Oreochromis niloticus: one gene and its partners. Each later gene encodes a partner of the first gene's protein in a complex. Links are inferred from orthologs where the notes say so. Each region holds a gene or a part of one and is shown in the gene's direction. Other genes may lie near its edges.

Region 1 (7,198 bases):
AGTGAATGATCGCAGGTCTGCTTCCATTAGTTTGTTACGGGACCTCTCCATCCATCTGCTCCTGCTCCCGCCCAGCTCCCGCTCATTTATGCAGAGTGGCCACAATTTACAGAAGGCCATTTTGTCTAATGGATACCATTCATTCATTCCCAGTGTGCTCTTTGGCAGGCGCTCACCAGAGTGCATTAGGAAATTAGTCCACTGCGAACGCGGACGCCATTGGAGATGAACGGCAAGATCAAAACCTGTCTGACTCCCGGTGATTCAGTCACTGCCATAGAGCTGATTTTGTATTCTGTGTCTGTCGGCTATACTTCAGTTGCTCCATCGGTAATGACACCATTTTGATGTGAAATTGGCTACTCGGATTCACTATTAGAGAACTGTGCCATCTTCCCTCTGTTTGACATATTGAATCCCACCGTAATAAAATGATTACCAAAGAACAAGACACAGGCCTGTAGTGGATATGATGAGTAATGCCTTTATGTAAACACTAATACTATTTTCAGCCAACGGCACCAGCAAACACTGTTATACCTCCTGATTAAGGACTTTTTGATGTACAGGAACTCAATGTCAAAGAGGATCCTCATTTCCATAAGCTGGTTTTAGGTTTCCCCTGCAATGTGATTCATGGATTAGCAATAGTGTTTGATCTATATGACTTGGCAGGGGAAGGAAACTTGATCAATAGACTGACTCTGTGGGTGTATGTGTAGCTGCCCTTCAGGGAGCTGAGCAGTGTGCCAGAAGACAAACTAAGCACTGTGACAAGAAAGTGCAGCGTCATCATGGATTTCTCCTCTGTAGACTCTATTTGATCTAAAATGCCTGTCAGGTTTCATTAGGTAATTGCCCTCTACATTGTCTCTGAGCTACTTTGCACTTTTTTTTCATCTGCTCAGCTTTGCTGATTCAGTTCAGAATCATTTAAATCTCCTGCAGTGACTAAATTTAGACCTACCTGTATTCATCAAAAGGACACGATAGATACTGATCTAAAGATTTAGAGATCTCTAATTCTTTGCTTTTCTAGTAAGAAGTTAAGTCTATCAGCACAGAGTGCTGTTTGTATTGTTTTTGCTTGACTGCCATATTGCTCCATCATAGCTTTGCTGGGCTTTACAGTGCTTTCACACACAATGGGAAGAGCAAAACCCCTATCCCTATGTTGGAATTAATGCTTTGTGGTTATCCAGGTGTCTCCCTCTAACACAGGCATAATAGGTAGTGAAGGTATCAAAAAATGTGTTGCCCAGGCAGGTGGGTAAGATATAACACATTCAGACCAGGATATAGTGTTGGGCTGCAGCCAGGTAGGGGATAAGAGCTGCCTCTAGCATTTAGAACCAGATGTTACCTCATGAATTCTTGTCCAGGAATCTGTGACTCATACTACACCGCCCAACCACACAAAAAAACGGCAACAAAAAAAAACGCAACAAAAAACCCCCAGAGAACTTGTGGATACTGCAAAAAGAAAAGGGAAAGAATATGGAGAAGTGGTGGGGGATAAATCATGAAGCATTTGACAGGGGGAGGGAAGGATGAAGGTGGGAAGGATTAACAGATGGATAGATGGCAGATGAATAAGGTAGGTGGAGGAGCTAGTGCAGAAGCGAGTGCTTTTTTCCCCCTTCCCCTCCTGACTCTCTCCATCCTTCAGTGTAAATGGAATGACAGGCTTCATCGTGGGGGAAATATTTCAAAAGTGCGGCTGAGTGAAGAGGCAAAGCAGAAAATAAACAGGATGGATGGCAGACGAATCAAAGCCTTGGACTGATGAAAGTGCACCCAATATCCTGTCTGTCACTTAGCAGAGGAGGCCGGCTGCTTGTTAGGACAAGAGCCTCTGCAGCTGTGAGTGTACATACATTTGTGGCGCTGAAGTGGGTTTATATGTGCGTGTTGAAGTCAACTGACTGCATGTATGTGGGTTTTTTAATACCATTTAAGCACCATCCAAGTCTTTTTTCCCCTCTGTCTCACGCACAAGAACTTTTCAGTGAAAGCACATGTTTGACACAAAGGTGAGTCTTCCCGATTGAATGAGTTGGTGTCTGATGGGTGAAATATGTCTGGCCCAGCTACACCTACGATAGGGAGGGAGGAGGGCCTTGGGTAGAAAAGTAGGAATCTGTTCCTCTTTCCTGTGTTGTTAAAAGCTTCATTTTCTCCACGTAAAGCGCTGTAAGGCTGTAAAAGCTCTCTTTCTGGTTCTCCTCCCATTGCAAAACCACAAACCCATAGCTGCATTTACACAGCATTTACACATTAACACGCACATTTGTATTTGCACCACACATTTGCACATACATGATGCACGCATGCTCACAGAAGTTGCAGCTCTGCCGATTACAGCAATAAACTGATCAGTGTTTGATTTACTTCATGTGCCACAGGACCTCAAATGCATTTAATTTGGCACAAGAAAAATGTGCAAGAAGGACTATGACAAATGGTTATTCCAAAGCAAATGATGATCCATCTTCACTATTATGATCCATCTATTAGAATGAAAGTAAGAAGTGGTTGTTTCATTTAGTAAACCTGAAGAGATCCTGTTAAAGTGTGGCATTGCTCTTCATATTAAGTGATGATCTTTTTTCTTTTAAAGCTGTTAAAGAGAAACTTTTCAACTATGGTTGTAATTCCAAATGAAAGGTTCACTGTCAGTAATGACTGAAATTAATTCAGCATTTCAAAATGACAGGATGGCTCACAGTGATACTGACTGATCCAGTGCTCTCAGTTCTACTGTTATAATCCATTATAAATGTGTGGGTTTTATGGGTGTTTTTCTCTGTCATTACACAAACTTGCTACTGCTGTTTTTCTGAACTTGAAAAAATGCAGGTGTCTCCTTGCATGTTTTAATGCCAGGTGTGCAATAGCTGCACACGTGTATGCTGAAATACATAAAGTAAAAACTCCAGGATCAGTCCGATTGTTTTGCAGGTGTAAAATTCATTGATAAGTTAGAAGAATTGGTGATTGTGTTGGATGATGGGACCTCCTGACACCTCTAAAGGAACACCCTTGGGCCCCAAACCCCAGGGTGGGAACAATGGGCATACAGTACATTGTTTGCTAGTGAGAAATTATCTCCTATAATGATCTCATGGGGAGAAAGACAGTAGCTGTGGTTCATTTTGATGATGAAAATTCATTTGACATTTAGGCTCCAATTTCCTACAAGTGGGAAATAAGAGGGTACTCGCTTAATTGGTGTGCTGCACTATGGTAAATGTCACCGCTCATGTAGAACCACGTAGAGCCAGACATGTTTCTTTAATACTGCAAGGTGTCTGTATGCCTGGTCAATGTCTCCCCCAAGAGGCTGTAAGTTGAACAGCAAAATAAAAAACAGCCACACAGGGCTGCTGCACGCAGTGGACGCTTTTTGTACACTTATTATTATCTGCATTTAAAGTGTATTTTCATTCATGTCCTGAGGAGATCAAAGCTGTATAGTCTGTGTACCTCTTGTTTCTAGAAATTCTAATATGCTTATACTGTATATCTTATTAAATTATCTAAATTCTCAGCAGTATTGGGCCCATTTCCTCCACCAGATCAAAAGCTGAAAACAACAACAACAACAAAAAAAAAACCAAACAAAAAAACTCCCTGACATGACAAGTATGGAGACAGTTAAGGGAAAATATTCCCTGCTGTTTTAGTATTCAAGAAAAAAAAGAAAGAAAAAATATATAGACTACAGATAGTTCAAAACTTATATATATAAAAAACAAATGTATGAAAGGCCTCCATTATGGAGCTATAAATGTTCTTACAAGGCTGCTTTGTACTTATTGTTGTTGAACCAAAGCGACTATCATTAATGTTATTAAGTAGCTACACCATGAGACTAAGTCTGCCTGTAGTGCTCCAGATTAATGACATTTAATGACATTTAGTCAGGGGAAGAGCACAAACTATAAGTGTAGATTGTTAAATTATAAGTAACATTCGTCCACCATAATTTTAAAGGTTTACTGGAGTAAAAATGTTGAGGTAACTGGAGTACTGGGCCTCAAAAAACATTCACATAAAAAGACGAGAGGCTCTCGAAACTACACTCAAGGACGTGTGAGTTGCGCTCAGCTCAGCGCAGACTGCGCAACTTGACGCTTGTGAAGTTCCGTGTGTGTATCGCTAACTCGAGCTAATTCATCAGCTAGCCAACCTTGCGCAGTGTTGGCCAGGTAGACGTACAATGAGAGATATTCCGGATAAATCGAATAGCAGTTAAGTGTTCGGCATTGTAATACAAACACGTAAGTGATACAAAGCGACTTTGCCTCCTTGCTATTGGGTTGTCACGGGAAATAGGTTAACATTAGCACTAGCTTGAGCTAATCAAAACAAGCACGAAACACTCACGAGGCTCCGGTTTCACCTATTACACCGCAACTACACGGGCGTGTCCGCTTTTGTATTAGTTGTGTTAAGAAGTATGATGTATGTTTCCTAATAACTAGCAAGCTTTGCAGCTTGTTTTATTAGCTAACCAGGCACGTTAGCTAGCTGGGACCAATGTCAGTTAATAACATTAACCTGGTGTTTTATCAGATTAGCACTTGCATTCCTTCTTTCCATGTGTACTGTTTACCTTGTTGTTGTTTTTAGATACTGGTTGTTTAATAACCCGGAATGTTGCATTGAAACCACATATGTCGCCCTCCCCCATGCAGATTAGGCCGTCCAAATGGTGGTCATATCAGGCACAGCCACTGTGCTGCAGCAGTTTGTCAGTGGACTGAAGAGTCGAAATGAAGACACTCGAGCAAAATCTGCCAAAGACCTGCAGCACTATGTGACTACAGAACTCAGAGAGGTAACAGCAATAACCTATATGTGCATAATTGAAAGCTGTCATGGGAAAACCACTTAGTATACTGGATACTTAATCAAGATTGTTGCCCACTACAGTTGGAGAGTTTCACAAGTCATATGGTACAAATTCATGTAAACAATTCCTTCCTTTTTCCATACTTGCTGTTTTGACACTTGTCCCACAGTTAAGCCAAGATGAAGCTACTACGTTCTACGATGAGTTGAACCACCACATATTTGAGCTGGTGTCCAGCTCTGATGTGAATGAAAAGAAAGGAGGGATTCTTGCCATAGGTAAGCATTAATAAAAGGTTGTTAAAATTGTTATATTTTTAAGCGCTGTTAATTTTGGACTTATTTAAGATCTCTTATTTTCTATCACTTTAAAATGATTATTGTTTTCATCAGTGAGTCTAATTGGAGTTGAAGGAGGCAATGCCACCAGGATCAGTCGATTCGCCAACTACCTCCGCAACCTGCTCCCTTCCAGCGACCCCGTGGTGATGGAGATGGCCTCTAAAGCTATGGGCCACCTTTCTATGGCGGGGGACACCTTTACAGCTGAGTATGTGGAGTTTGAAGTGAAGAGAGCTCTGGAATGGTTGGGAGCCGACAGAAATGAAGGGAGACGCCATGCTGCAGTAAGTCACTAGCAGACAACAGTCACTGTGGTGTTTGCTGTTCAAATAAAACCACATATTGGTGGTGTTTACATGTGCTGGAAATGTGGGCACGTTGGGAGCTGTAATAACTTTATCTATTGCTGTAGTGAAGGCAGTGTTGAAAGTTGCTCTAGTGTATTTTGGGTTGAAGGCACAAGTAGTACTTCATATGCACTCTCATACCCCAAATATCAGCACATTCTTGTTCTGTTTTCCCTGCTAAAATGTTTCCTTTATAAATCTGCTCATGCCCTTGTAACCGTTTCATTAATATTTTCCTCCTTGATGGTTGCATCAAGCAGTTGTTGTTACATAGCTGTTGTTATGCAGCTGCATGTGGTTTAAAGGTCTAAAATATGTGGCCTCTGCTCTCTGGCTACAACTTGCTTGTGGTGTTGGAGTGAGCTGGAGAGTAGTGAAGCTTCCTAAAACATATTTTTAAAAATTTTCTCAATGCCTACATTCTGAAGTGCACAAACATGTTTACACCTCCGCACAACGCAGTGTTCAAGGTGCACCTTTGCTAGATTATGTGTGCATGCAACCAGGGTGAATCCTTCATCCTCTTCACTGTGGCCTCTTTGCTCTGTTCTGTGTGCGTGTGGGTGGGTGTCGCCCAGCTGTGGCATCAGCAAAACCTCCCAGGAGAGAAGCTTGATGAGATGTTGATGCAACCCGGTCACTATGTTTTTATAGAGTACCGACCCCAGACACTGTTATTATTGGCTGGGGCATCACACGCACAGTCCAGAACAATCCTGAACATAGAAATAATTAGAAATCAGAGAATGTGCTTGCCTTTGCTGTGTTTTATTTAGCTTATTATGCAATTACCATTTTCACATTTTTACTGGCTGTAGAATATTAAATCTAGTTACTTTCCCCAGAATGTCCACATGATGTTGTTGGGAAATAACTATAAAAGAGCACGGAGATATGGAAAAGGGAGATGAAAACCAAATTGGCAATAAAAAAACTAAAATTCATGGTTGAGCTGCAATCAGTGCCAGAAACAAAGAACACAACAAATCCATCCATCCATTCGCTTCCGCTTATCCTTTTTAGGGTTGCGGGGGGCGATTGAGCCTATCCCAGCTGTCATAGGGCAAGAGGCGGGGTACATCCTGGACAGGTAGCCAGTCACAGGGCTAACACACAGGGACAGACAACCATTCGCACTTACATTCACTCCTATGGACAATTTAGATTTTTCAATTAACCTATCCCCACAAAGTGCATGTCTTTGGACTGTGGGAGGAAGTCGGAGTACCTGGGGAAAACCCACGCAAACACGGGGAGAACATGTAAACTCCACACAGAAAGCCTGATGGTGGAATTGAACTCAGGACCTTCTTGCTGTGAGGCAACAGTGCTACCGTACTGTCCACACAACAAATCCTACAAGCTAAAAAATTTAAGTGATCAAAATGCACTAAGCATGGGTAAACGGTCAGAAGAACACACATAGGATTGGTTGTGTAAAGAGATCAGTGATTTCACTCCCAAGTTGAATGTGTTCCAGCAGTAAAATTGAAAAAGTAAAGAAAAACAGGATCTTTTTTGCTCCTTAGCAAGATGGAGCCATTCATGTATCAGTAGGAACACAGTGTGGTCAGTGCTCTAATTATTTAATGAGTCACAAATACATTGCAGTGGCAGTACAGGTGACAACATTTACAGTTTTACTATCGTTT
Region 2 (7,840 bases), on another chromosome or scaffold:
ATGTGGGTGTCTCCTGGTAAAAACATGCATGTGCCATGGGCTACTGATTGTCACCAACACAGCCAACCTTTAAGTGAAGGAAGTGGAAAGTAAAGCTCTGGGCTCTTTGATGGGGACAAGACTTGGGTTCAGATATGTCAGCTTCGCCTGGGTCAAAATCAGAACCCAAGAGGTCCAGTCCTTCACTTGATGTGTTTTCCACTGAGTGGATAAAAACATCAAGTTCACCACAGAGGATACAAAGGAAAAGGTTACCATTTCTGGAATGTGTTGTGTTCATTTATAGAGCGTGGAAGCCTCAACAATGAATTTTACCTGAAATCCACACACAGAGACTAATACCAGCTCTTTGACTCCCGGCACCCAGTGGAACACAAACAATTAAAGAAATGTCAGATAACAACCAGGGAGAAAAAGACTAACAGACAAAACAGCATTGTAGATTTGTTAGAGAAACTCAGAAGAATTTTCTCCAAGCATGACATTTCAGTGCACTTCAAACCCAGCAACACCCTCAGACAAAAACTGTTGCATCCCAAGGACAAAGCAGCCAAACAAAAGCTTAACAAGCTCGTATACGGTGCAGTGCAGTGAGGAGAGCTCTGATCTCCAAACAGGAGACACCAAACATCCGCTCCACAAAAATATGGCACAACATAGATGAGCAGGACAAGACTCAGCTGTACATCTGCACTAGGACAAAGGTCACGCTTTTGATGATGCCAAAGTTCACATTTTGGGCCGAGAAGGAAGTCTGTTGGAGAGAGGAGTAAAAGAGGCCATCTATGCTTGCTGTGAACGACTATCGTTGAGCAGATATGTGGGCTTACGACACCAGCTCGCATCACAACTCACATGATGAATAGAGGTGTAACGACCCTTAGAATCACCTCCAAAGTAGATAGCCCCTCACTAAGGGTTTATTACCTGGGACTTTCCACCAGTTGTTATAGAACAGAAGCTGCGTCTTTGATGAAAACCTAAAAAACTCCAGCTGCCTTTTTCCCAAGTTCTCGAAATCACCTGGATAACCAAGAACGTACAAACAGAACTAATCTCTAAGTTAAACTAATATTTCAAAGTCACACTGCAGGGCAGCTTATGGCAGCTTATTGATACAATTAATTAAATATTAAGGAAAATGATTGAAAAACATGACTTTACAGCACTGATCAACAATTTCTTACAAATAACCAAAAATTTACTTTTTATCTTCATCATATTTTGACTATGACATCAATAATTCAGCAACTTGTGTAAAAACTGGAACTTTGAATTATTCTCCTGAGCCGAGTTGTTATTTGTCTGAATTTTCACAGCTGACTTAATTTTTTCAATTATCATTATGAGACCAAATTAAGGAAAATTAACAGAACGAACAAAGGTAACAGATTTTAACAAGTGCTAATTTACATTACATGACATGTGGCATTATTTATGCTTAAATTGCCTTCAATTTAGAAGACTGTGTGATCAGAGGTTTGACACAAACGCCCAGAAAGTGTCAGTCATCATAAAATGCTGCAATAAATGGGCAGCTTGCAGTATTCAATGAGAGACAACACTGCACTATTGAATTAATGCAATTATGAAAGTAAGTATGTGGTGTGTGGATTGTACTATGTAGAAGAATGCTAACACAAGCACTGAATTGCTCTGCCTCCTATTCTACTTTTAATTATCCTAGGAACCAAAAGTAAGCCTGCAGTCTGAGAGCGAAGTGCTCTAATGGGGTGCTACAGTACTATGAGGTCTTTAAAGATGTGGCCAGATTATTCAAGACCTTATATGTGAGGAGAAGGATTTTAAAGTGGATTCTGGATTTAACAGGGGGCCGATGAAGAGAAGCCAGTATGGTAGAAATATGCTCCGTCCCTGTTAGGACTCTCACTGCAGCATTTTGGATCAACTGGACTTTAAAGGCTTTTGGGAAAACCTAATAATTATGAACTGCAATAGTCGAGCTTAGAAATAATACATACATGAACTAGTTTTTCAGCATCACTCTGAGACAGAATGTTTCTAATTTTAGAAACTAATTTCCTAATTTCCACCAGTTTGCTATACTGGTTTAAAAAGCACAGCTAAAGCCAGTCTAAATGGCTGGGTTTGGGCACATTTATGACTTACACATAACACAACACTCCTTATGAACTACTGAGGGGCGATGTGCACATTTTCAGGTTAAATAAATCTCTCATTTACAAACATCTTCTTGATTTCGGTCCAGATTTTTGGTCTGGTTTATTCTTTCTGCTTTAATTATTCATGAAATGTGTCTCAAACTTCGCCAGATTCCCTTTGTGGCACACTGAGTTGATTGGGGATAATATAGTGAGGCATACACATGTGCAGATAAAAGTCCTGCAGGCAATCCACGCTGCTTATCGGGGTAATATCAGTGCAATGAAGTCCAAAGAACTCTCTACAGACCTGTGTGGTTAAACTATGGTGAGGCACAGATCAGGCCAAGGGTATAAAATCATTTCTAAAGGTTTGAGTGTTCTGGGGAGAATATGGCCTAAATATTTATGAAATGGAAGACATCTGAAACCATCTGGACCTTTCCGAGAGTAGGCTGCTGGGACAAGCTGAGTAAACAACCAAGTAGAAAGTTGACCAAGAAATCAGCCTGCCAAAAGGATGAGCATCCCAACAGCTCACTGTCAGTCAGTTTTACAGCAGTCAGACAGAAGCAAGTTTTAGCCTCTCAGAAATTGTCAGACTGCATTCAGAGAGTAGTTCATACTTTCCATCCAGTTTGGTAACACTTGAAACGGAGAATGAGATAAGCTATGGAAATCTATTTTTGTTTTCTGAACCTCACTCTATTATTGCATTTCTGTTTTATTTACAGTATGTTAATGAAATCTATGCACTTCACACAGAAAGGCTCCAGCTTTTCAGCTGGCCTGCAGTTTAAAAGCAGGAACCTTCTTGGTGTGGGATGACAGTGGGATAACCATTGCACCACTGTGTGTGGATTCTCTCAGACACACATGTAAGGTTAACAGGTGATTCTAAATTCCCCTCAGGTGTGAGTGTGAGTTATTGCCTTTTTTCTGTTCCTCTCCACGTTGTATCCCACGTCTTAGCTTATGACAGTGGGGATGGGCTTTGGCCTCCCGTGACTCAGAATTGGATGAGTGGTTAAGAAAATGGATGATATGGTTACTGGAACACTGTATCAGATTTCATCCAATGATTCTAACTTTTTGGATGCTTGAGAAGTTCTTTTGAGGGGGTATTCAGTTCAGTTTAACCCAGATGCCATTTCCCATAATGGGATAACTATGAGTGGCATCAGTGGCTCGTGCTATTTCCTCACAGTAAGATGGCTCTGAGATTGAGCCCTCCTGAGGATTTTATTTGTACAGAGTTTCCATGTTCTTAAACTGTGACTAAGTGGGTTTTCTCCAGGTGCTCTGGTTTCCCCTCACAGTCCAAAAACATGCCTGTTAGGTTAGTCGATTATTCGAAATTGTCCAGGAGACTTGTGTGCATGTGACTGGTAATTTAAAGCACACTGGGTGATTATTAAGCAAGAGAACTGCTGTATAAATGTCAGTCCATTTCAATAGTATTGACGTCCTACTCATACAACAAGTCAACTGATTGTATAAATACTGTATGGCTTATGGTGTAACAACTAAATTAATGTTAGCTGGTACTGATTAAAAAATAATGCCATTTAGCAAATGTCCCCCCAAGTGACAGCAAAATTACCTGAAATAGTTTCACAATTAAAGCAAATATTTTGGTGTTTAGGATGAAAGGAAGGAAGGATCCATGCAAGTGCTTTTTCCCACTATCGCTGAATAAATATGGCCACAAACCTGTGTAAGTGTATTCTTTATTTTTTTTGTTAAAGCTTTTCCCTTTAATAAGGAAAAATAAGGACATTTGGTACAAAAATAAGGACCAGATTCACAAGCGCTTGTTAAGTACAGCCTTTAAGCTGTTTATGAACACAAATATCTAATCAACCAATTGCATGGCAGCAGTTCAATACATTTAAGCCTACTGGAAATAATTGGTGGAGCTGTGGTGAGACGTATTTAACCACGCATGGGGTACAAGTTATTTCTGTAAGCTAATAACCAAGCTGATAACATCACAACCTATTTGGGATTTTATGAAGTCACATTTTAATAGAAATTTGATACATAAAACAGGTAGTTGGGAAAAATATGTTGGGGGGGGGAAAAGTCCTTGTTTCCAGACCTCAGTTCTCATTTTAAAAATAACAAAGCTCCTTTTCTTAAATAACGAGATTTGTTTTCTCAAATGAAGTTGTAAAGCACTTTGTCAAGCTGAAGTTTTTTTTCTTTCTTTGAACTTTACTGTAAGTTGAAGATGCAGAACATAAAGTTCAATACTTATAAAGAATACTACAATTAAATTCAAGGGAAAAATGTCAGGAGAAGAAAGAAAACCAAAACCATAATAACTTCTTTTTCTTAATTCCAAAGCACCTTTTCCTAAACAGTGGGATTTGTCCCTCCAAAGGAAGCAGCAAAGCAAACCACCTTGTCAAGCTGAAGTAATCTGGTGATAGAGCAACATACGGGAAAAAGTCATAAAAATTATATGTAAGAAATACTAATTTCGATTCAAGAAAAAAAAAAAAACATTGACAAAAAATGGCCATTATCATTTAAATAAAGTATTTACAAAATCGTAAATGCTTTTTGAAGGGAAAAAAAAGGTTTTGCGCTGGTAAATGTACACTTACGCTAAAACTGCAAGTATTACAAAGACTTCAGTTACAACCTTTCATTAGTTACAACCTTCGTGCAAGGACAGCTCAAAGCCACTTTGTCGTGCAGGTTTCAAAGGCTTCAGGCTGACGTGAGTACGTGTGTTTATATTTTGGTGAGTGACGCCAGGAACAACAGCTGTGACGTTTCACGACAGCTTCGCCGCCCCAACAGTGCATTCTGGGTTCAACCCAAGATGGCTGCGCCCTTGCAGAAGTGCTGAAGAAGTGCCTCTTCGGAGAAATTCTCGGAATTATTTGAGATTTCCTCGAAGACTGTCGCTCGGAGCCGACTACCAGGGCCGCTGGTACGTAGAAGGAGTCCACGCGAGCCCAGTCATTGATAAGTGCGGCCGGCGTTACGTGTGGCTGTGGCAGACTGTCCGTGTGAAGATGGGCCTCGCCTGCAGCCCCTTCCCATAGCGAAGAGCCGTGGGGAGAGGAGCCGCAGATTCCCCTGCAAACACGCGCCCGTGCAGCTCGGATTTGACGGCTTTGACTTACTCTACAGGCTCTGGACGCTGCCCTACAATTTGCTGACCAGGATTGTGTGTGCGACCGTGTCTGTCATTGTCCGGAGAAGGAGAGCTTCCACAGCCCGGGCTGATAATCCCACCGCACCAAGGTCTGCATCTGCACGCTTCGCTGACACTCTCCGTGCCTTATCTGCACATCTGCTCGGTCCTCTTATCTCTGTCACGCGTGTGTGGTTTCAGAGCCTCGCTTTAAAAAGGCTTTAAGTGAATATTACCGGCCTCGGTGCAGTCTGACACCTGACAGCAGCAGAGCTGTTACATTAGCCGCGCTAGTTTAGCTTAGCTAGCTGGACTGGACTGAGCCTGCTGCTCGCCAGCATCCGTGCAGACAAGTTTAACACAGCTGGGCCGTTTTAGCACGAATGCAGAGGCACTAAAGATAAAACCCATCGACCTCCTCTGCCGTGGCTCCAGCTGTAGAGCTGAAACACCTCTGCAGCTGTTGCTTTACTACAGAGTCAGGCAGCTAGCCTGTTAAAATAAAGTGGAGGAAGCCAGATGTGAGTGTGTTTGGTTTCAGTTGCTGTTGTGGGTTTCATTCAAACAGGATTCACAGCATCAGATTCACACGGCATAAAAATGACTCATAACCACCATCCCATGACTTAAAGGGCATAAAGTGGAAAAGTCAGCAGCCAGTGTTGATAATCAGATTATTATCTGAGTGTAGAAACAGCCTGCTTAGTATAGCCCGTAACAACAGTACAAGAAGGGATGGACCTGTTGTTACTGTATGGGACAGTAGCAGTCTGATGATGACCGAGCCTTTGGGGGGCTTTTGGTGTACCCATTGTTTACAACTGGAGATAGATTTTTCAATCCAAGTTACAGAATGGACAGTGCAGAGGTCAGCAAACAGCAACAACTGTTTGAATGTGCCGGCCGGCCCTGGTCCACACAGCGTGTGGAGATTGTATGTTGTTCTTGTGCCTACATGGGTTTCTTTTGGGTACTCTGGCTTCTTCCCACAATGCTTGTGAGGTGTGTTTGTGATTATAAATTGGCTGTGTTAGACCTGCTTTCTAATGCCAGCTTGGATAAGCCCTGGCCCTCACCAATCCTGTATAGGAAGGATTTAAGAGGACGGATCTTTATCAGATGATGGGTGATCCATATTGACAAAGTGGACTTTGGCCCAAAAGAAATGGCTTGTATTTGTGGTGGTAGCATGGCCAAGAGGGACAAACATGTCCAAGAACGTACAAACAGGGACGGCTGCCTCTGAGGTCAGGTCTTCATCCTGTAGGACTTCAACAGCTGCACCGAGAGACCTGTGGATCTAAGTCATGATTGTTAATTTTTTTTATACTAGTGCTAAGATAATATAATCAAATGTTTTATTTTTATAACCAAAAAAGGAAGCAAAAGTTCTCTTACATGTTGTTTAAACACTGAAGATGTTTGAATGAATAAATTTATCTAAATCTGGATCCAAGTCTCGAGCTCTCTGAACAGGCCTACTGCAGTTATCTGACAGCGCGCTTTTATTGCTGTTTAAATTTTCCTATGAATATCTCAGTTGGTAACCAAAAATGTATTTAGGGATGCTTACATCTGTTGTGTATATATTCTGTTTTTACTGTGTTTATATATTATTTATCTTCCATTACTTAATAAAATAGCTGCACAGTATGTTTTGATTAGCAAATTTAGCACATTTGGCTGCATCTGGACTGGAAATTTCTCCAAATTTAAGATTTAAGTTTTTTAATTATTTATTTTTTAGACTAGTGTCAGTATTGACTATATGCAGTAATTAAATGGCTAAAGTGAGCCTACAAATCTTTTTGTGGATACCCAGTAGCTACAGCTAAAGACACTTCAAAATCCAACCAGTGACATTAACATGAGCGCTCTCCCAGCAGGGCCCTGATGAAAATGGACTCAGACTTGCTTCATTCACCGGCCGTGGGCCTCGCTGAGGAAGAGGAGGCCGATATGAATGACTGGAAACTTCCCTTGGCCTTCATGAAGAAGAGGCACTCAGAGAAGATTGAGGGCTCCAAGGCCCTGGCGCAGAGCTGGCGGATGAAGGACAGGGTAATTTCTCTTCTCATCCATGTCCAGGAGTAATTCAAGAGCCTGAGGATGTTTCCTGTGTGAGCTCTGCTTTGAGGTCACAGAGGCTGTTTTTCCTTTTATCTCAGCTCATAGAGACTTGTATAGCTGCATTTTCATGCTCATATATCTGATGGGACTGTGTTAGTTTTAAGCTGGAACCAATAAAACAGGAAATCTAAGATTGTTGATTTAATTTAATGAGTTTTGATGCTTTAGATACAGCTTTAGAAATGTTCAACACTGTTATTTTAAAACGATAAATATTATAGTATGGTTTTTCCCCTCTAATCAGCAGTTCCCACAAAAAGATCAAACTCTGATACCATCTTTCATGTAACGTATTGATTGAACATTGATTTTTATCCTAGAAGGATTTCTTGTGGTTTGTAACTACAGCAGAAAATTCCTGCTTTATAGGACAGGGTGGGTCAAATGGTTATCCACGGGGCCAGTTCTCAAAAATTCAACTCATTAAAAAGACAAA
Region 3 (7,921 bases), on another chromosome or scaffold:
ACTTTCTTTCATTCATAAAAATAAGCGTGCCTTCCAATAATCTAAAACTGCATCTTTTTGGAATTCCTCTGCAAAGGTTTTTAAACTGAAACTAAATTCTAGAGACACATAGATACAGACACATGGATGCTAACTCTGCAAAGATGATGAAAAGGTCAAACTTGTTCCAGTGGCTGCTCAGGTAGCTTCCTTTATGGCCGATGAATCCCAGGGCTATTGTCTTAATGAGCGTTTCCATGATGAAGTAAAGAAAGACGAGAGAACCCAAAATCTGTATACAGAGAACGAAAAACATCATCATATCAAATATCAAAACATACAAGGCATACTGTTAACATACAATCACTGGTAATAACAGCAGTAGCACAGATATAACATACTATATCCAGATGCTGCATCTGAGCTTGTAAGGGGCCTGAGGGTCTGGTTATGGGCTCTGATCCATTCCTACAAGATTTTACTGTTTAATGTGACTTATTGCAATAAGTTACCTCCTCTTTAAGATGACATATTGTTAAGTGACTGTTCTGACAAAGTTAATGCTGACTTATGTCAGGTTAAGAAAAAAGAGATGACCATTTTAATTAAAGTCATTCAACAGAAATAGGTGAAAATTAAATACATGTATGTTATTCAAAATTCTCTCTTTCTGTGTTAAATCTGTTTTTGGCCACAAATAAGACAAACCAACAAATCCTTTAAATGATGTGAGTAATCCTGTCAGTTTTTAAAGAAGAACATTTAAAAAGCAGCTGCAGAATTGAAATATTAAGTGTAGGACTAACACTGTTAGTATCATATATGGTACAAAAACTCACATTTTAAACTTAAAACATGTCCTTGACAAAGCACTTTGGGATTTTTCATCGTGAAGCCAAGAATCAAGATTACACTAGAACATTATAGGACTAACAAATGAGAGCGTTTACGAAGTGTGTTATAAACTACAGCTTATTGTTAGTCCTTAAAGGGACAGTTCGCATGTTGTACATCTGTATACTTTCTGTTGGGCCTGTTGTGCCATCTTCATCTAAATTGCTATGATTTGAAGTTCAGCTGTAGAAATATTAGCAGAATATTCATGATTCCCGAAATTATGGCCCTCCCCTGAAAAACATCAACAAATTGTGTTATAAATAGTTCATTTAAGGACTATTTTTTTTCTACAGAACTAGAACCGCCAGCCAAAGATGATGAAAATGAAGATGCATAATTTTTTCTGCACAGTGATAAGCACTTCTAGTCTGCTAGTCTCTTCTTCTGATGCTCAGCTCATTATAATAACCTCTCGGGTGAAGCTCTCCTCTTTCGCCTCTACACAAGGCTGGTACATGCCGTCATTCACGCAGCTGAGCAGGACCACCAGTATGGACAAATAATCCAACCATGTAGAAGAAGAGGTTAAGGTCCAAACACATTCATAAAATTTATCAGCAACAAAGGAAGCTTTCGTACTAAAAGTGTTTAATGTGGACATATTGAGTGGTATACAAGAAAAAAAACCTATAAAAAATTTTAAAAAAAGGTTTGAAATTGTGTTAATGACATTCTTACTTCATTCAGTACAGAAAGGATATGGGCCAGAGACTATTTTGAGGAACCATTTGCGGGGTCTACTCGTCTGCTTTAGTCCGAAGCACACAGGCACTACCTCTGGGAAGGGAAGCTGCTCCTCTACAACGACGCCTCTATGTCTATCATGGATTTCATGCATAATGAAACCAGAAACGCATCTGAGAGAGGTCAGGAAAAAGGGGCAAAGAAAACCATGATATACAGATCTATTTGGAGAAACAACTTCCTTTTCTTGCATAAAAAAGTTAAGCAGTCCCACACTAATAGAGTTGGCTATATATGGATTTTTTCTGTTAAATGTTTGGATACATTTCATTACACCTGTTCAACTGCTCCTTAAGTCAAATACCTAATCAGAGAATCACATGGCAGCAATTCAGTGCATTTAGTCATGCAAGCATGGTCAAAAATAACTGCTGAAATTTAAACTGATCATCATAACAGAGAACAAAGGGGAATTTAAGTGACTTTGAATGTGGCTAATTGTTGACCCTAGAGGAGCAGGTCTGAGTATTTCAGAAACTGTTGCTCTCAAACATATCTGCAATCAGTTTCTGTTAAAGTGACTTTTATATATCATCCAGGTAAAAACTTCCATCCATCCATTCGCTTCCGCTTATCCAGTGGCCAAAAGGATCTGTATTGATTATAATGTAGAATACAGAGTAGATAAAATAGCGCACAGCCATTTGCAAGGATCCTTGCAAAACAGGTTAATCAGTCAGAATCAGAATCAGTATATTTTATTAATCCCTAAGGAAATTATGTGGGTTACATTTGCTCCAATACAGTAACAGAAACAGACTAGACTATTTAACAATACAATATGTCGCAGATTTACAAATTTAAGAAACAGCACAATATATACAAATCACTCAATAATAAATATCAAGGATTGACAGAGGTGATTATAAATAAATATCAAGAATGTTGACAGGAATATTATTGAGAAGAAAAGAGCATGTGCAAAAAGGGTGTAACTATTACAGTGTTTACAGTGTGTTAGATGGAGAATTAATTAATTATATTAATAATTGGAAATATAACAAAAACAGAACCAATGAGTTAGGAAAGCTGTCAAATAAAGGTAAACAAAAGAAAATTATTGTAATTCTCACTGAAATGAATTGACAACTTTTCACTGTTTTAAGTTGTAGTCCGGAAGAGCAGTGACTCAACACATTAACGTTGAGTGTACCTTATTTAGGCAACATGCTAATGTTTTAGTGACTTCGCATTAGCCTAAAGCTACAGTCATTGGAGGCTACATGATGGGGCTGTTAGCATGACACTGTCATAAACATGAATAGGCGGCACACAATCATAAACTCTCCATTTGTTTTCTACTTATGAAAGTTTGGTTGGATTAGCTAACTGGTTTTGGATAAAAGAGTTGCGTATGGCATTAGCTAGCTAACTAACTAGCCTCTTTTAGATAATAACTATAGGCACTGGAGACAGAAATATTTAACAGTTTGCAAACATGTTATCCTCAGGTTCAGCAGACAGAAGTAAACATACAAAAGTAAAACTTGGAAAACCATTTCCTAATTTAGCTCAATCAATCAATCAGTCAAAAGAAAATCCAACAATGCTTTGAGGACATTTCTGTACCTAATTATGCTACTACAATTTATTTTAAAGAAATTTAAAACCACTTTATTACACTTAACTCTGAAAATGTTCATTTTTACATTTTCGAAAATACTCAAGTTACATTTTTCCCCCAAACAGACTCACAGGTTTCTGATTGTAAATTCTCCTCTTCACCTTGACTTTGGCCAATCAAAGGTAAATGAGCCAAACTCTGATGTGAAGCTGTAACCAACAGCAACCATCCTGAAACCGGATGTTGACGATGAAGAGCAAACTGTTTTATTAAACAGTAATTTCATCCCTTTAAGTTTTTTTATTCTTAAAATTTATCTTATAATATTTTAATGTGGGCCCAAGAAACTATTGATAGCGGGTGTGTTGAAGCTAATATTTTAATCATTAAGTTCTGGCCGAAAAGGTGGAGACTGAAGCTTAAGCACAGCACCTAGACTTTTTGTACAAAATGTTGCTTAACTGGCAACACTTTTCTAACCTGATCTGCCCCAAAGAAACACCAAAAAATGACACAAAATTAGGAATAAATACTAAACTAGGACAAAAACAAATAGTAATCATATTGATTGTGCCTCATGTTTATTTTTTTTAATCACCTGAGTTTTTATGTTGTTGTTTTATGTTGTTTTTTTTAGATAATGATCAATCTTAATTCAATCTTTATAATTTTATATTTTGTACATCAGTGCATTTCAGACAGTAGATCATATATGAAACTATTAGGGGACAATATACCATGATGATTTTTGATTTATGATGTCTTTAGTTTTATATCATTTTGCAATAGTTTTTGTTTCATTTTTGTTTTTACATTGTTAATAATGAGTCTTCCATAACTGTCAAGTTGATACTAGATGTGTTTAATACCTGTTAGAACTAGTGTTGATCGTGGTACTGAGTACAGTATTTGTGAGGTTTTTCTGAGCGGTTCTAGAAACTGGTTGTACAGACAGAGGATGATGTCACGAGGTTGGAGTGTAATTTTTTATATACCGAAAAAAAAACCCCTTATTAGTTAAGCAACAATACTGTATCCATATTGGCACGTTTCTATACATCCAGCTATGTTTCTATGTTTCTATTCAACCCTTGCCATTTGAAATGTACGAAAAGTTTAGTAGTACTTAGAATAACACAGGCTACAGTGATAGAAGCGATCATCTTAAATCCTATTGACTCAATGGCATTTTTCAACTTTCTATTATTTACTTTCTTTTACTTTGGTACTGACTATTAGGACTGAGATATCGCCATATTGACACAAGCAACTTTTCAGACGATGCTAATAAAGCTGAAATTAAAAGATGTTGCAATATTACATAATGAAATACGATTAGTCTTAATTAATATTATGAATTATTGGTATACACTTCTTTGAAAATCATTGTATTTAATTGCAGCATGTCTATTCCTCGTGGACACACCAGCAGAGGGCGGTACTGATCTAGTGATTGAACCGGAACTCTTGAAACACTATTATGTTTCTAAGGGACGCGTTAAGGAGACGTACTTCTTGGCTGGCTTCAACACTAACAACAACAAAGGGGAACTAAAGAAATTTGTCCTTTTAAAACGGTAGTACTGCTGTGTAGTTATAGGTAAGGGGTCTAATGGTTTCATACTAGAAGCGTTTATTGTTTATTGCATAGACTATAAGTTTGGCTAGCCTCTCTTGCTAAAGTTAGCTTATGATACGTTCACAGTTTAACCCTTTTTTGTGCTTTAGCTGTGTTTTGTGTTTTACTTTAATTGTTGCAAATTGAATTTCCCTGCAGTATCCGCCAGGAGTTCGTCATGAATGTGAATCAGGGGACGGTGGGCAGCGACCCGGTCATTCTGGCCACGGCTGGATACGACCACACTGTCCGCTTCTGGCAGGCCCACAGCGGGATCTGCACCAGGACGGTCCAGCACCAGGACTCAGTATCCTTACCCTGATATATGGAGGCTTACGCAGAATGTGTACTGTCATGTTTGAATAATTATAGGTTATGACCATTTATAAATCTCAGGTTTAAAGTTCAAAGTTAATCAGATGTTGTCTATGGGGGGGGGGGGGTTCTCTTCAAGGCAACAAAAGAAAACAAGCTTCTCACAAAAATCCACGTGAACGCAAAAAGTGCTTTTGTTTTAGTTCTGTGTTTTCTATTTGTTTATAGATGTTCTATAAACCCTTTAGGGTTCGCTGAAGTGGGTAATTGCCTTCATCTCACACTCTTTTGTCACACCAACCCTCTGCATGTCCTTCTTCACTACATCCAAGAATCTCTTCTGTGGTCATACTGTTTTCCTCCTGCCTGGCAGCTCCATATTCACACTTCACAGGTCTCATTTACACTGTCTCTCCTCTGCATAGGTCCAGACCATCTCAGCCTTGCCTCTAACCTGTCTCCAAACCACTCTCTTTACTCCGAATGAATCTTGAAATCTTCATTTCTGCCACATCCAGCTCTGTCCCGTATCTTTTTGTCACTGTCACCGTCACCAAACCACACATCATAGCAGGTGTCACTTCCATCTTACAAACCTTCCCTTTCATTCTTGCTGCTATCCTTCTGACACTCATCCCCACATTCTCCAGTCTGCCTGCTCACTCTTGTCACCTCTCTTGTGGACTATCTTGACTGTTACGCCTGTCTCTCTCTCATGACTTTCATTCCTCCTCTCTCCAGACACTCTTCCACCTGGTGCCTGCTTTCACTACAGATCAAAATCTTGTCTGTGAACATCATAGTCCACAGAGACTCCTTTCTGATGTCATCTGTCCACCTGACAGTACCCTGACCTTACCTAGCAGTTTAAATTTGATGAGCTGTAAAATATAGCAGCAACCTACATTGTCCACTTCCTTAACATTTACTCTCAGCAAGTAAATTCACTCGAGGTCACACCTGACAGAAGTATGATTGCAGCCGCAGGTTGGTTACAATTTTCCCCACAATCCTTTTTCTCATTTCTCACCTTAATGTTACTTTGCTTCATAGTAATGTTTGCATTCTGCTTTCAAGGTTATCAGCATATCCGCATGTACGACTTGAACTCCAACAACCCCAACCCGGTCATCAACTACGATGGAGTTAGCAAGAACATCACGTCTGTGGGCTTCCACGAAGATGGACGCTGGATGTACACAGGAGGAGAGGACTGCATGGCTCGCATATGGGACCTGAGGTACTGAAGGACAAGCTCACTGGTCTTTGTTTATTTAATGATCAGCAAACTAAACTCTGATCCCTGCTCTACCTTGTAGGTCAAGAAATCTGCAGTGTCAGAGGATCTTCCAAGTAAACGCTCCAATCAACTGTGTGTGCTTGCATCCTAACCAGGTGAGACACTCAGTACACACAGATGAATCAGGTGAGGCTGTGCTCTTGGTTACTATCTGGAGCATTTGCACTTAATGCCGAAGATTTCATTATGTTTTTTTAGGCAGAGCTTATAGTTGGAGACCAGAGTGGAGTGATCCATATCTGGGATCTGAAGACAGACCATAATGAGCAGCTGATTCCAGAGCCGGAGGTCTCAATCAACTCAGTTCACATTGACCCAGATGCGAGTTACATGGCAGCAGTCAACAGCTCGGTCAGATGCTTAAAAAAATCTGCAGCATATGTGGCGCAGGTTAATAAATTCACTGTTTTATATCGTGTTATATTATTGAAAACCTTTTTTTTTTTTTTTTGCCCGGCTCTCTTTTAAAGGGAAACTGTTACGTGTGGAACCTCGCTGGAGGCATCGGGGATGAAGTGACTCAGCTCATTCCCAAAACCAAGATCCCTGCGCACAAACGCTATTCCCTCCGCTGCAAGTTCAGCCCCGATTCCACGTGAGTGAACCTTTTTCTCCAATTTCCCCCTCATTTCCCCACCAAAAATACAACTTGACATTTTGCATTCGTCGTCGCCTCCAGGCTGCTGGCCACCTGCTCGGCAGACCAGACGTGTAAGATCTGGAGGACGTCCAATTTCTCACTGATGACAGAGCTCAGCATCAAGAGCAATAATCCGGGAGAAACATCCAGAGGCTGGATGTGGGACTGCGCCTTCTCCGGAGACTCGCAGTATATTGTTACAGGTCCATACAGCAGCACACTGCAACAGATCTCAAAACTGAATAAGAATTGTTCAAGTAAAACACTGCAATCTATCTGAGGGCTGCAGATTTGAAATGTGGCTGTTTGTAAGATAAAAAGGACATCTCATTTTCTGATTTTGTCTTGATTTGTCACACTAACCCCTGCCCTGCCATTACATCTGCCATGATGTAAAAGGGGTTTAAAAATGAAACATGGCTTTAAGTTTGCTCTCAGATTATGATAACTTTTAGACACTTCCATGTAAGGCTGGACATTGCTTTGTTTTAATTCTATTTTTTCACTCACTCCACAGCCTCCTCAGATAACCTGGCTCGCCTGTGGTGCGTGGAAACTGGTGAGATCAAAAGGGAATACAGCGGCCACCAGAAGGCCGTGGTGTGTCTGGCCTTTAATGACAGCGTGCTCGGCTGAGAAGCAGAAGGAGGAGATAAAAGGTTGTCAGACAGGAACTAAAGACTCTTATGAGGGTGCCACTCATGTCACGTATGTCAGCGCCAGTACAGTGATCGACTTGAGGAAGCGGGCACAGTGGCCATCTCTGGCATATGCGCAGAGTGACACAGCCAAAATAAAAATCTGTAAAGTTAAAATCTGTTTTAATGGACTTATTTTGTTTCCACAGACGTACAGAAAGAAATC
Region 4 (7,714 bases), on another chromosome or scaffold:
CTTGCTCTCTATTGAGGAACCGACTATACTTTTTACTCATCTGCCAAGAGATGCAGTTATAGTTTTTAGAGGGGTTTTTTCTGTTTGTTTGTTTTACTGGTTCAACTTTCTCACCACCAGATGTTGGTGGAAGTTTTGACTGCTAACCTAGCCCACCTTCCACTCAGACAGAGCAGCCCAGAGGAGCACCGCCGACCTCACAAGCGCTGCGAGCTGCAGCAGCAGGAGCAGCATATGAATCATGTTCTATATGAAGCTTAAAGACATGCTCTCGCAGCCCAGAGTGAGGCAGGTGAACTCAGCTCGCCATATGGCTTAGAGGGAGCTTATTAGGCTCTGAGGCAAAAAACACATTATCCACAGTGGACCAAGGCCACCTAGGGATGATTTCCATTATGAAAGCCTTTAATTCTGTTGGTATGAGTAGGAGAAAAGGGGGGGAGAGAAAAGTAATACTTTAGCAGAGGAGCTGCACTCTGGCCGCTTGGCTCGTGCAGGGATGGATGACTGGCAGCGAAGGTGAAGTGTGATTAATTATCTGAGCGCACTTATGTAAGTTATTACATTGTAGATACAAACAAATGACTCCCTGCTCGACCTAACTCCTCTCCTCTCTCTCTCTCATCGCATTATTACTCAAAATAATTCCACATATTAAACTGACCCCGTGATAAAACAAGAAAAGCAAAACATCAACATCAGGCATTTATAACACAAACAGAGAATGAACACCATCCAGCCAGACAGTGATTTGTTGACTCTGTTGCACTGTTTTCCCCTCACTATGTTACTTATTTACACTTTTTTATGGCACTTATTATTGTTGTGCTTTTCAACTGGCTGAATCATTTTCCCTCCTGCCAAGCCTCATTATAAACCTTATATCCAGAAACTACTTTTTTTTTTTTTTTTTTTTTGTAAACGTGGAGCTAAATCTGCTTCACCATATCAACACTGTATCCATAGTGACCCCTTGAGGTTCAATGCTGGAACTACAGTCAGACTGAACGCAGTTAGACAAATTTGGTGTTTTGCATCTTAGCAGATAAGGCGCATGTGCCACCGACCCATTTAAGTGTCTCTGTGGCCATAGAGTTAACTTAACTCCACTATAATTGTATTTAAAATTTGAACCTACAATATGTCAGAATCTCTCTACTTTTCAAAATGCCTTCAAACTCCCTGGCTCTCTATCATATCTAATAATTTTGGTAAATGATAGATGGGCTGGTTCTTACATAGCTTTTCTACTCTGCTTGAGCAATTCAATCAGTTTAGTTCAGTTTTATTCATATAGTCTCAAATTACAACAATAGTACCCTCAAACAAGCACTTGGCAACAGTGGGAAGGAAAAACTCCCTTTTTTTAATAGGAAGAAACCTGCAGCAGAACCAGGCTCAAGGAGTGGTGGTCATCTGCCACAAGCAGTTGGGCTTGAGGGAAGGACAGAGGATACACTGTGGAAGAGAGCCAGGGATTAATAATAACTAACAAGCACTCATACGCACTTTATACAAGCTTTCTCTCTAACATTCACACTCCAGTGAACGCTTAGGGAGCGACTCAGGGTTCACCATCATGACCAAAGATGCTTTGGGAGTGCATACTAGAGCAGCCAGTGATCCAACCACCAACCTTTTAATTAGCAGATGACCTGCTGTACCTCTCTCTCGCCCTATAGTAGGTAGGACAGGCTCCAGCCCTCAAGTGAGCTTGAATTACATGAGTGGAAGATAACAGACGGACGGACTGCTCTACCTCCTGAGCCACAGCCACCCCCAAAACAATCAAAAACTGTACCTTTATTTTGCAAATAAACTCAATGCTCTGGCTCTCATTCCATGTTTGGAAACTCTTGGAACTCCAAGTAAGCCTGCAGTCTTAGAGTGAAGTGCTCTGTTGGGATAGTAGATTTTTTTGTGTTAACTAATGTGAAAGAAAGCATCCCATATGACATCCTTTGAAAAAAAATTAAGATAGCTGAAAACTAGTCTGATGAAAGAAGCAAAAATTCAGTTAGTTGAGCGTCTGCTCCAGTCTTTATGCTTTGAGTTGTACTCTCAATAAAACCAACAAAAAAGGAACTTCCTTCTAAAACTCGTCAGAATGTACTTGTTCCCAGAAACAAAGGCTTTTCTCTGTAGGAAACTGTCAAAAAAGGGAAAAAAAAATCACACAATAGTGTGTTCTACTCCCTCTAGGAGAACAAGTGTAAACTTGCTCCAGTTCAGACTCAAACGGAAAATGTTAGACCCTGGAACGAAACCTGAGCAGGAGGACAAGCATATATTAATCTCTAGTTTAGGAAACAGACATCTCACAGGTCCCCGGCTGTCACCTTTATTAAATAACACCTGTACGAGCCGGTTCGCGCTGTTCTGTAAGGGAATATAACGCACAGTTGAATGACATCTTCCATTTTTCAGCAATTTCCAGCATCGAAAAGCTTTTATTTCTTAAAACAAGAACACTCTGACAAGTTCAGAAAAAAGGTTTTTGAGGATATAACTGAGCTCACAAAGGCTTCACTGAGTAGTGCACCTTGTAATACGACTAAGTGGCATTGCACACTATGCCACTGCTGTGTAGCCATTATAGGATGGTAGTGGATCCTGAAAATGGGCCTTTAAGCTTATGTAGCTCTTACATTCAAAATAATGAAAATAAGTAATTAATCAATCATTGTTTGCAGCATTTCTAATCAATTTCATGTCATATTAGACAAAAAAAAATAGAAAAGAAAAGAAAAGAGGCGACATTCAAAGACAAAGCTGACAGAACAAGTGTTAGAGGGAGTTTAACTAAGGACACATTTCTGCAAATATTACTGCAGGATTATATTGTTTGTAATCTCCGTGCTGAGGGGCACATCTAAAAGAATGTGTATCACTTGTCTCTATAACCTGTAGATGTGAAGAGCTCTCAGGAGCTGCATCAAATTAAATTCCTCCCTCGCTTGATATGTGAGCTCATTTAAGCTTCTCGCTCTGCTTGTGCAAAAAAATCAAATAAATAAATAATTTTAAAAAACATGCTTTATCGCGAAGCAACGCGCCAGACGTGAACCCAAACTTCCTGCAATAAAAGTTTCATCCACACACTTCTGAACTCTTAAAGAAAAGATTATTGAATAATGCGAAAAATAAACCGTATCTGAGGATGAAAAACAGAGAGTGGCCAAGTGAGACCTGCACATGACAGATATTCAGGATGCCACCTGTAAAATAAAATAAAAAAATTTAAAAAAAACACACTGTATCAGGAGGCAAGTAAGATCAATTATTCTAGATTTTCCCCCCCTTTTTATAGATTTCCTTTCTTTTTCTTTATGCCAATTTATCTCTGCAGTTTGCGCTATTGTAACAATCCTTCCCTCCCGGGCAATAAAGGAGAAGCAATGAGACCTGAGAGATTTCCTCTAAAGAGATAATTATCCCTCTCCTCTTCCTTGTGAGCTTTTCATCCAGTGTCCCTCTTGTTGCCAGGAAACCAACCAGGGTAAAGACTCTGCGCAACCCTGCTCTCCAGCTGAATGTAGCGGTGGCAAATCGTTAACATCTCGCTGCTTTTCGAGGCTGTTGATAAACAGGAGATAGCGAGGACAGTTACGGGACACATGTGAGGCCTTTTGAAGCTGCGCTCTCACTGTCGGTGAAGGTGATTTCGAGGCCTACGGCAGGGTGTAATAGATGAGGTCGGCGTGTTCGCTCTGAGAGAGACATCACAAACACGAGAGGGGGGTCTTTGCTGTAAGTCGTCTACATCTAAGTCCTTATGTGGGATAACCCTGTGCCTGGTTGGGAAGTGTGTAGTTAGACCGAAAGCACCTACAAGATAAAGACCATAACCGGAACATATCAAATGTTCTTTACTTGTGGCCATTCTTATCTCGTTTACATTGCTGCACTCATCTTAATTATATTAGTTTAACCTGTGAAACGTGAACACATAAGATAAGGAGGACCAGTCTTCCAAAAAACAGAACACTCCTCATTTGATGTTTTCATGGCGAGTGCTGTCCAACCATCGATGGCCAGCCATGAAAGACCACAGTATGAAATATACATCATTTTCATACTTATCAAACTGGTCATCCTGGAATGAAAGAACACTTCCATCATTACAGGATAACAGGGACCATTCAGAACAACTTTACATTGACTTGTAGTGGCCATTCTCTCTACAGGGACAGGTGACCTGAACCATGCCGGTAAAATGCTCCCAGGAGCATAACACTGTAATGAGACAGCAGGAAGAGCAGTTGTTGTCTTTAAAGTAGCCAATATGGATACAGATAAACAGATAAAGGAAACCTGTTTCCCACAAGCCTACATTTAGTGGCTCCAGCTATTCGGGGGGAGATACTTTGAAAATGGAACATAAATGACATCAACCCCCCTGAAAAAAAAATACGGAGGAAGAAGAGTCGCAATGCACAGGAAGTTTAAGTAGGATATTCAATAGATGTGTTGCTCTGTAGACTGTGATGCACCTCTTCCACTGCAGACGGTCAAAACATAAAAAAAGAAATGCTTAACACGCCCAAAGAAACTATGCATGCAGGACGTGATCTGTGTGCATTCTCTTGTTAATGTTATTATTGGAGGAGACACAGTTTGTTCTCGGTGTAACTGCATATATTAGATAAGTGCTTTAGTTATCTTGATAGAAGTCAGGGGCACGTGTGTAACTGCTGTCATATCTATTGGACAGCTAGTTGTCCACTAGGCGGCGGTATACACATCAGACAGTTAATTCAATATAGCGCTATATAATATATATATTAATATATATGATGATAATATAAGCGATACAAATGTATCTTATATTTCTTCATTAAACTTTTATTCCGCGTTCACGGTAAAATGTGTAGAAACGCATGTCTTATCGTGCACTCGCAATAAAGGTCATCCGGGAAAAAAGTAAAAATACATTTAAAAATAGAATTTAAAAATTTTCATTGTAATTTTGTATTAAAACGTCAGAATTTGCGGTTTTATATTGCGCACGGAGGTCAAAGTTCACTAGTTCGCCTCTCAAAATGGCGGCTGAGCCCACACGGGAATGGAGCGATGAGCAGCTCAAAAGTGATGATTTGCCCAAAAAAGACATAATAAAGTTCCTGCAGGACAATGCGGCCCACTCGGTATGTTTCTCCCTTTAGTCTCCTCGGGATTCCGGTTGGGATATCTGCTGGTTACCGGTTTGAATTCTCACTGTGAAGTGCAGCATGCAGCATGGCTAGCTCCGATGGGATGCTGTGCTTCAGCTCAGCACAACAGAGCACAATGTTGAGCACTATCTGCACATTAATACGAATAGAAACAGCTTCTCTTAGGGTTTGACCTGTGCAGCTCTTCGTGGCTTGAGCGCAAGCGAGTTGAACTTTCTCCTTCTGTTCGCTTGTTGTTATTTCAGTTCCTCAACGAGCACAAGCTGCTCGGAAACATCAAAAATGTTGCCAAAACTGCAAAGAAAGAGCAACTGATTATCGCCTACGATCAGCTCTTCGAGAGTAAAGTAAGTCACGATTATCACCCGCCTCGATGATGAACCTTGATAATGAACATAAAATGTGTAAACGTGTGATTTGCAGAGGTTTAAAGGCACAGAAGCAGTGGAAGAAGTGACCGAGAAGGTTAAAGCTGTGAAAGTCGAAGAAAAACCCAAAGAAGTCAAGACAGAAGTTGTGGATGAGGTACTGGTGCACACCATCAGATATCAACTTTTTTACATCATCATTCATATAAAAAAGGAAAACATGACATTCTGTAATTTATTTTGTCCATCCGCTTATCCCACATGGGGATAAGTGCATTATAACCCAGTGCAATACAGTCCATGATACTGATGCTCAACGTTGGTTAATGGAGGAGGGGGGGGGCGGGGTGCAGATTTTGGTTCTGTAGATTGTGGTTGCTGGAGTGAATATAAAGTTCAGGGGTACTCATGAAGACTCAGAAATGCTGTAAAAATAATGTAAATTGGGAAATATTTTCAATATAAAGGTAAACAGTTTCATTGTATACTAAAGTCATTGTACAAAAAGCCGATTCTGATGAGCACCCAGCGATTATTCACATTTATTGACCACTGCTTCATTACTTCTCTCAGGGTCCTCCAAAGTACACCAAATCAGTGCTGAAGAAAGGCGACAAGACAAACTTCCCAAAGAAGGGCGACACTGTGAGCTGCTGGTACACCGGAACCTTAGAGGATGGGACTGTTTTTGACACCAATGTTCCCACAGGTATGACTGTGCCACACCCTTAAGGTGATGCTCTGTCACTAGTCGTGCTTTTGCATTACCAGAAAATGTTAAACTAAGTAATTTGTACTTCTTAGTTATGTAGATCAAATCTCTATGTAGCTATGAAGAATCTGTCCTTGTTCTCTTCAATCTACAGCGGCGAGAAAGAAGAAACAGGCCAAACCACTCAGCTTCAAAGTCGGCTTGGGCAAAGTCATCAGAGGAGTAAGTTGCTCTGCTGTTGTCATTTAGTTTCTTAACTTTTTTTTTTCTATGTCTAATGTCTGTAATCATCACAGTGGGATGAGGCCTTACTGACAATGAGCAAGGGTGAAACGGCTCGATTGGAGATTGAGCCTGAATGGGCTTACGGAAAGAAAGGCCTCCCAGAGTCCAAGTATCCTTTTTTTCCCCCTCTTTGGTATTTTGTACTTTGTGTGCATTTTTCATAAATATCTCCATATTTCTAAAGGGATGTGATGAAACTACATGAGCTTTCTGCACATAAGGTCAGAGCTCAGGTTCTAATGTGGCTTGATTCTTGTTTATAACTGTCCTCCTCCTTTATTGTTTTACGCTAATGTAATTAAATGAAAGCCAAATTTCCTTAACTCCACGTCTACCAGAATTCCACCCAACGCAAAGCTGATTTTTGAGGTTGAGCTGGTGTCTGTGGATTAGCCCAAAGCATGCACTACATTTCAAGAATTCACACTTAAAGGCCTTGAGGTAGAGGGGGACATCAGCATGCGTCTTGGATTGCAATATTCCTGGGATGCCTTTGCTTTAGTATAACATTACACATATACCAACTGGATTTAAAAAAAAAAAAAAAAAAGTTTGATTTGGACAAAGTGGAATGGCTTGTTAATAATGTACATACAAGAGACTGTGAAATGTTATCTTTTTGTTCTTTTGCATGTACAATGTCAGAAATAAATCATTTTCCCCAAATTATATAGGTGTTCATTTCAGTTAACCGGTCACGGTACAGATGACACCGGTCTACATCGTGTTCTTTAGCCTGAAATCAATTGTATTAAGAGAACTAGTTCGTGTGGTGTAGGAGGTACTAAGACCTCCCAGTACAGTTTTATGCCAACTACTAATTGTTCCTGGAAGATTTGAATAAGTTATAAATACAAGATGATTCAGTAGGAATATACCCATAAGGTGCAAGACTAGTCTAAATATGCAGGGAAATAAAAACTAAGGTATTACATGTACAGTGATGCACGTCTTTAGGGTCTAAGCATCCAGTGTTTGCACACAGGAGGAGCTGGTTTAGCCTCAAAGCTAAATTTACCAATTTTAGCTTGCATTAATCCCTAGAGACAGAATGAAGTTTGGCTCAAATACAGGACAATTGTCTTTATTAAGAAACTGCAAAGATTATTTGTTAAAGATTTAGATTTACATTGCAGGACAAATCACTCATCTAGACCAAGTCAAAATTGTTTTTA

Evidence for each region.
Region 2: the proteins of mtor (region 1) and rptor are in contact, whole or in part, in a cryo-EM structure (PDB 6BCU), measured with the Homo sapiens proteins. The link is inferred for Oreochromis niloticus from reciprocal best matches to the Homo sapiens genes MTOR and RPTOR. Residues at the interface, in NP_001373429.1 of Homo sapiens: His597, Thr600, Pro632, Val644, Ser645, Gln646, Thr647, Ala648, Val649, Ala653, His686, Ala688, Gln689, Glu691, Met721, Asn722, Pro723, Ala724, Phe725, Met727, Pro728, Phe729, Arg731, Lys732, Leu734, Ile735, Leu738, Thr739, His743, Tyr771; in NP_065812.1 of Homo sapiens: Phe278, Lys282, Cys283, Ser285, Leu286, Pro288, Gln380, Ala381, Asp383, Leu384, Asp387, Glu411, Gln412, Thr414, Ala415, Val418, Trp419, Thr421, Met422, Arg427, Asn428, Glu431, Gln432, Lys973, Ile974, Asp979, Leu980, Glu981, Ser982, Lys986.
Region 3: the proteins of mtor (region 1) and mlst8 are in contact, whole or in part, in a crystal structure (PDB 4JSV), measured with the Homo sapiens proteins. The link is inferred for Oreochromis niloticus from reciprocal best matches to the Homo sapiens genes MTOR and MLST8. Residues at the interface, in NP_001373429.1 of Homo sapiens: Leu2269, Arg2270, Met2271, Ala2272, Pro2273, Asp2274, His2277, Leu2278, Thr2279, Leu2280, Met2281, Gln2282, Val2284, Glu2285, Val2286, Glu2288, His2289, Asn2292, Asn2293, Glu2536; in NP_001186102.1 of Homo sapiens: Tyr20, His22, Asp42, Ser43, Gln44, Val45, Asn46, Tyr62, Asn87, Glu105, Gln148, Thr174, Arg221, Tyr222, Leu224, Ser268, Arg270, Gly271, Trp272, Trp274, Ser290, Lys313, Val316.
Region 4: the proteins of mtor (region 1) and fkbp3 are in contact, whole or in part, in a crystal structure (PDB 5GPG), measured with the Homo sapiens proteins. The link is inferred for Oreochromis niloticus from reciprocal best matches to the Homo sapiens genes MTOR and FKBP3. Residues at the interface, in NP_001373429.1 of Homo sapiens: Glu2032, Tyr2038, Phe2039, Gly2040, Arg2042, Tyr2088, Val2094, Leu2097, Tyr2105, His2106, Arg2109; in NP_002004.1 of Homo sapiens: Lys160, Pro161, Leu162, Ser163, Lys170, Tyr198, Lys201, Gly202, Gln203, Pro204, Asp205, Ala206.

The regions. Positions count from the first base shown.
Region 1 is NC_031984.2:28,353,192-28,360,389, forward strand, and holds the start of mtor (serine/threonine-protein kinase mTOR), read left to right. Parts: upstream 1-4,110; 5' UTR 4,111-4,253; exon of another isoform or gene 4,254-4,283; intron 4,284-4,700; 5' UTR 4,701-4,714; coding exon 4,715-4,843; intron 4,844-5,027; coding exon 5,028-5,136; intron 5,137-5,250; coding exon 5,251-5,483; intron 5,484-7,198. UniProt on the Homo sapiens protein: Serine/threonine protein kinase which is a central regulator of cellular metabolism, growth and survival in response to hormones, growth factors, nutrients, energy and stress signals.
Region 2 is NC_031971.2:37,769,215-37,777,054, forward strand, and holds the start of rptor (regulatory-associated protein of mTOR), read left to right. Parts: upstream 1-4,628; 5' UTR 4,629-5,384; intron 5,385-7,157; 5' UTR 7,158-7,167; coding exon 7,168-7,335; intron 7,336-7,840. UniProt on the Homo sapiens protein: Component of the mechanistic target of rapamycin complex 1 (mTORC1), an evolutionarily conserved central nutrient sensor that stimulates anabolic reactions and macromolecule biosynthesis to promote cellular biomass generation and growth.
Region 3 is NC_031973.2:21,211,818-21,219,738, forward strand, and holds the start of mlst8 (target of rapamycin complex subunit lst8), read left to right. Parts: upstream 1-4,639; 5' UTR 4,640-4,784; intron 4,785-4,961; 5' UTR 4,962-4,980; coding exon 4,981-5,109; intron 5,110-6,052; coding exon 6,053-6,104; intron 6,105-6,194; coding exon 6,195-6,357; intron 6,358-6,436; coding exon 6,437-6,512; intron 6,513-6,615; coding exon 6,616-6,768; intron 6,769-6,887; coding exon 6,888-7,012; intron 7,013-7,096; coding exon 7,097-7,260; intron 7,261-7,574; coding exon 7,575-7,693; 3' UTR 7,694-7,921. Other genes in the region: voltage-dependent T-type calcium channel subunit alpha-1H, read right to left, coding at 135-271, 1,286-1,388, 1,578-1,714.
Region 4 is NC_031980.2:4,843,079-4,850,792, reverse strand, and holds fkbp3 (peptidyl-prolyl cis-trans isomerase FKBP3), read left to right. Parts: upstream 1-4,990; 5' UTR 4,991-5,042; coding exon 5,043-5,147; intron 5,148-5,419; coding exon 5,420-5,521; intron 5,522-5,597; coding exon 5,598-5,699; intron 5,700-6,115; coding exon 6,116-6,251; intron 6,252-6,408; coding exon 6,409-6,476; intron 6,477-6,550; coding exon 6,551-6,648; intron 6,649-6,877; coding exon 6,878-6,932; 3' UTR 6,933-7,205; downstream 7,206-7,714. UniProt on the Homo sapiens protein: FK506- and rapamycin-binding proteins (FKBPs) constitute a family of receptors for the two immunosuppressants which inhibit T-cell proliferation by arresting two distinct cytoplasmic signal transmission pathways. PPIases accelerate the folding of proteins.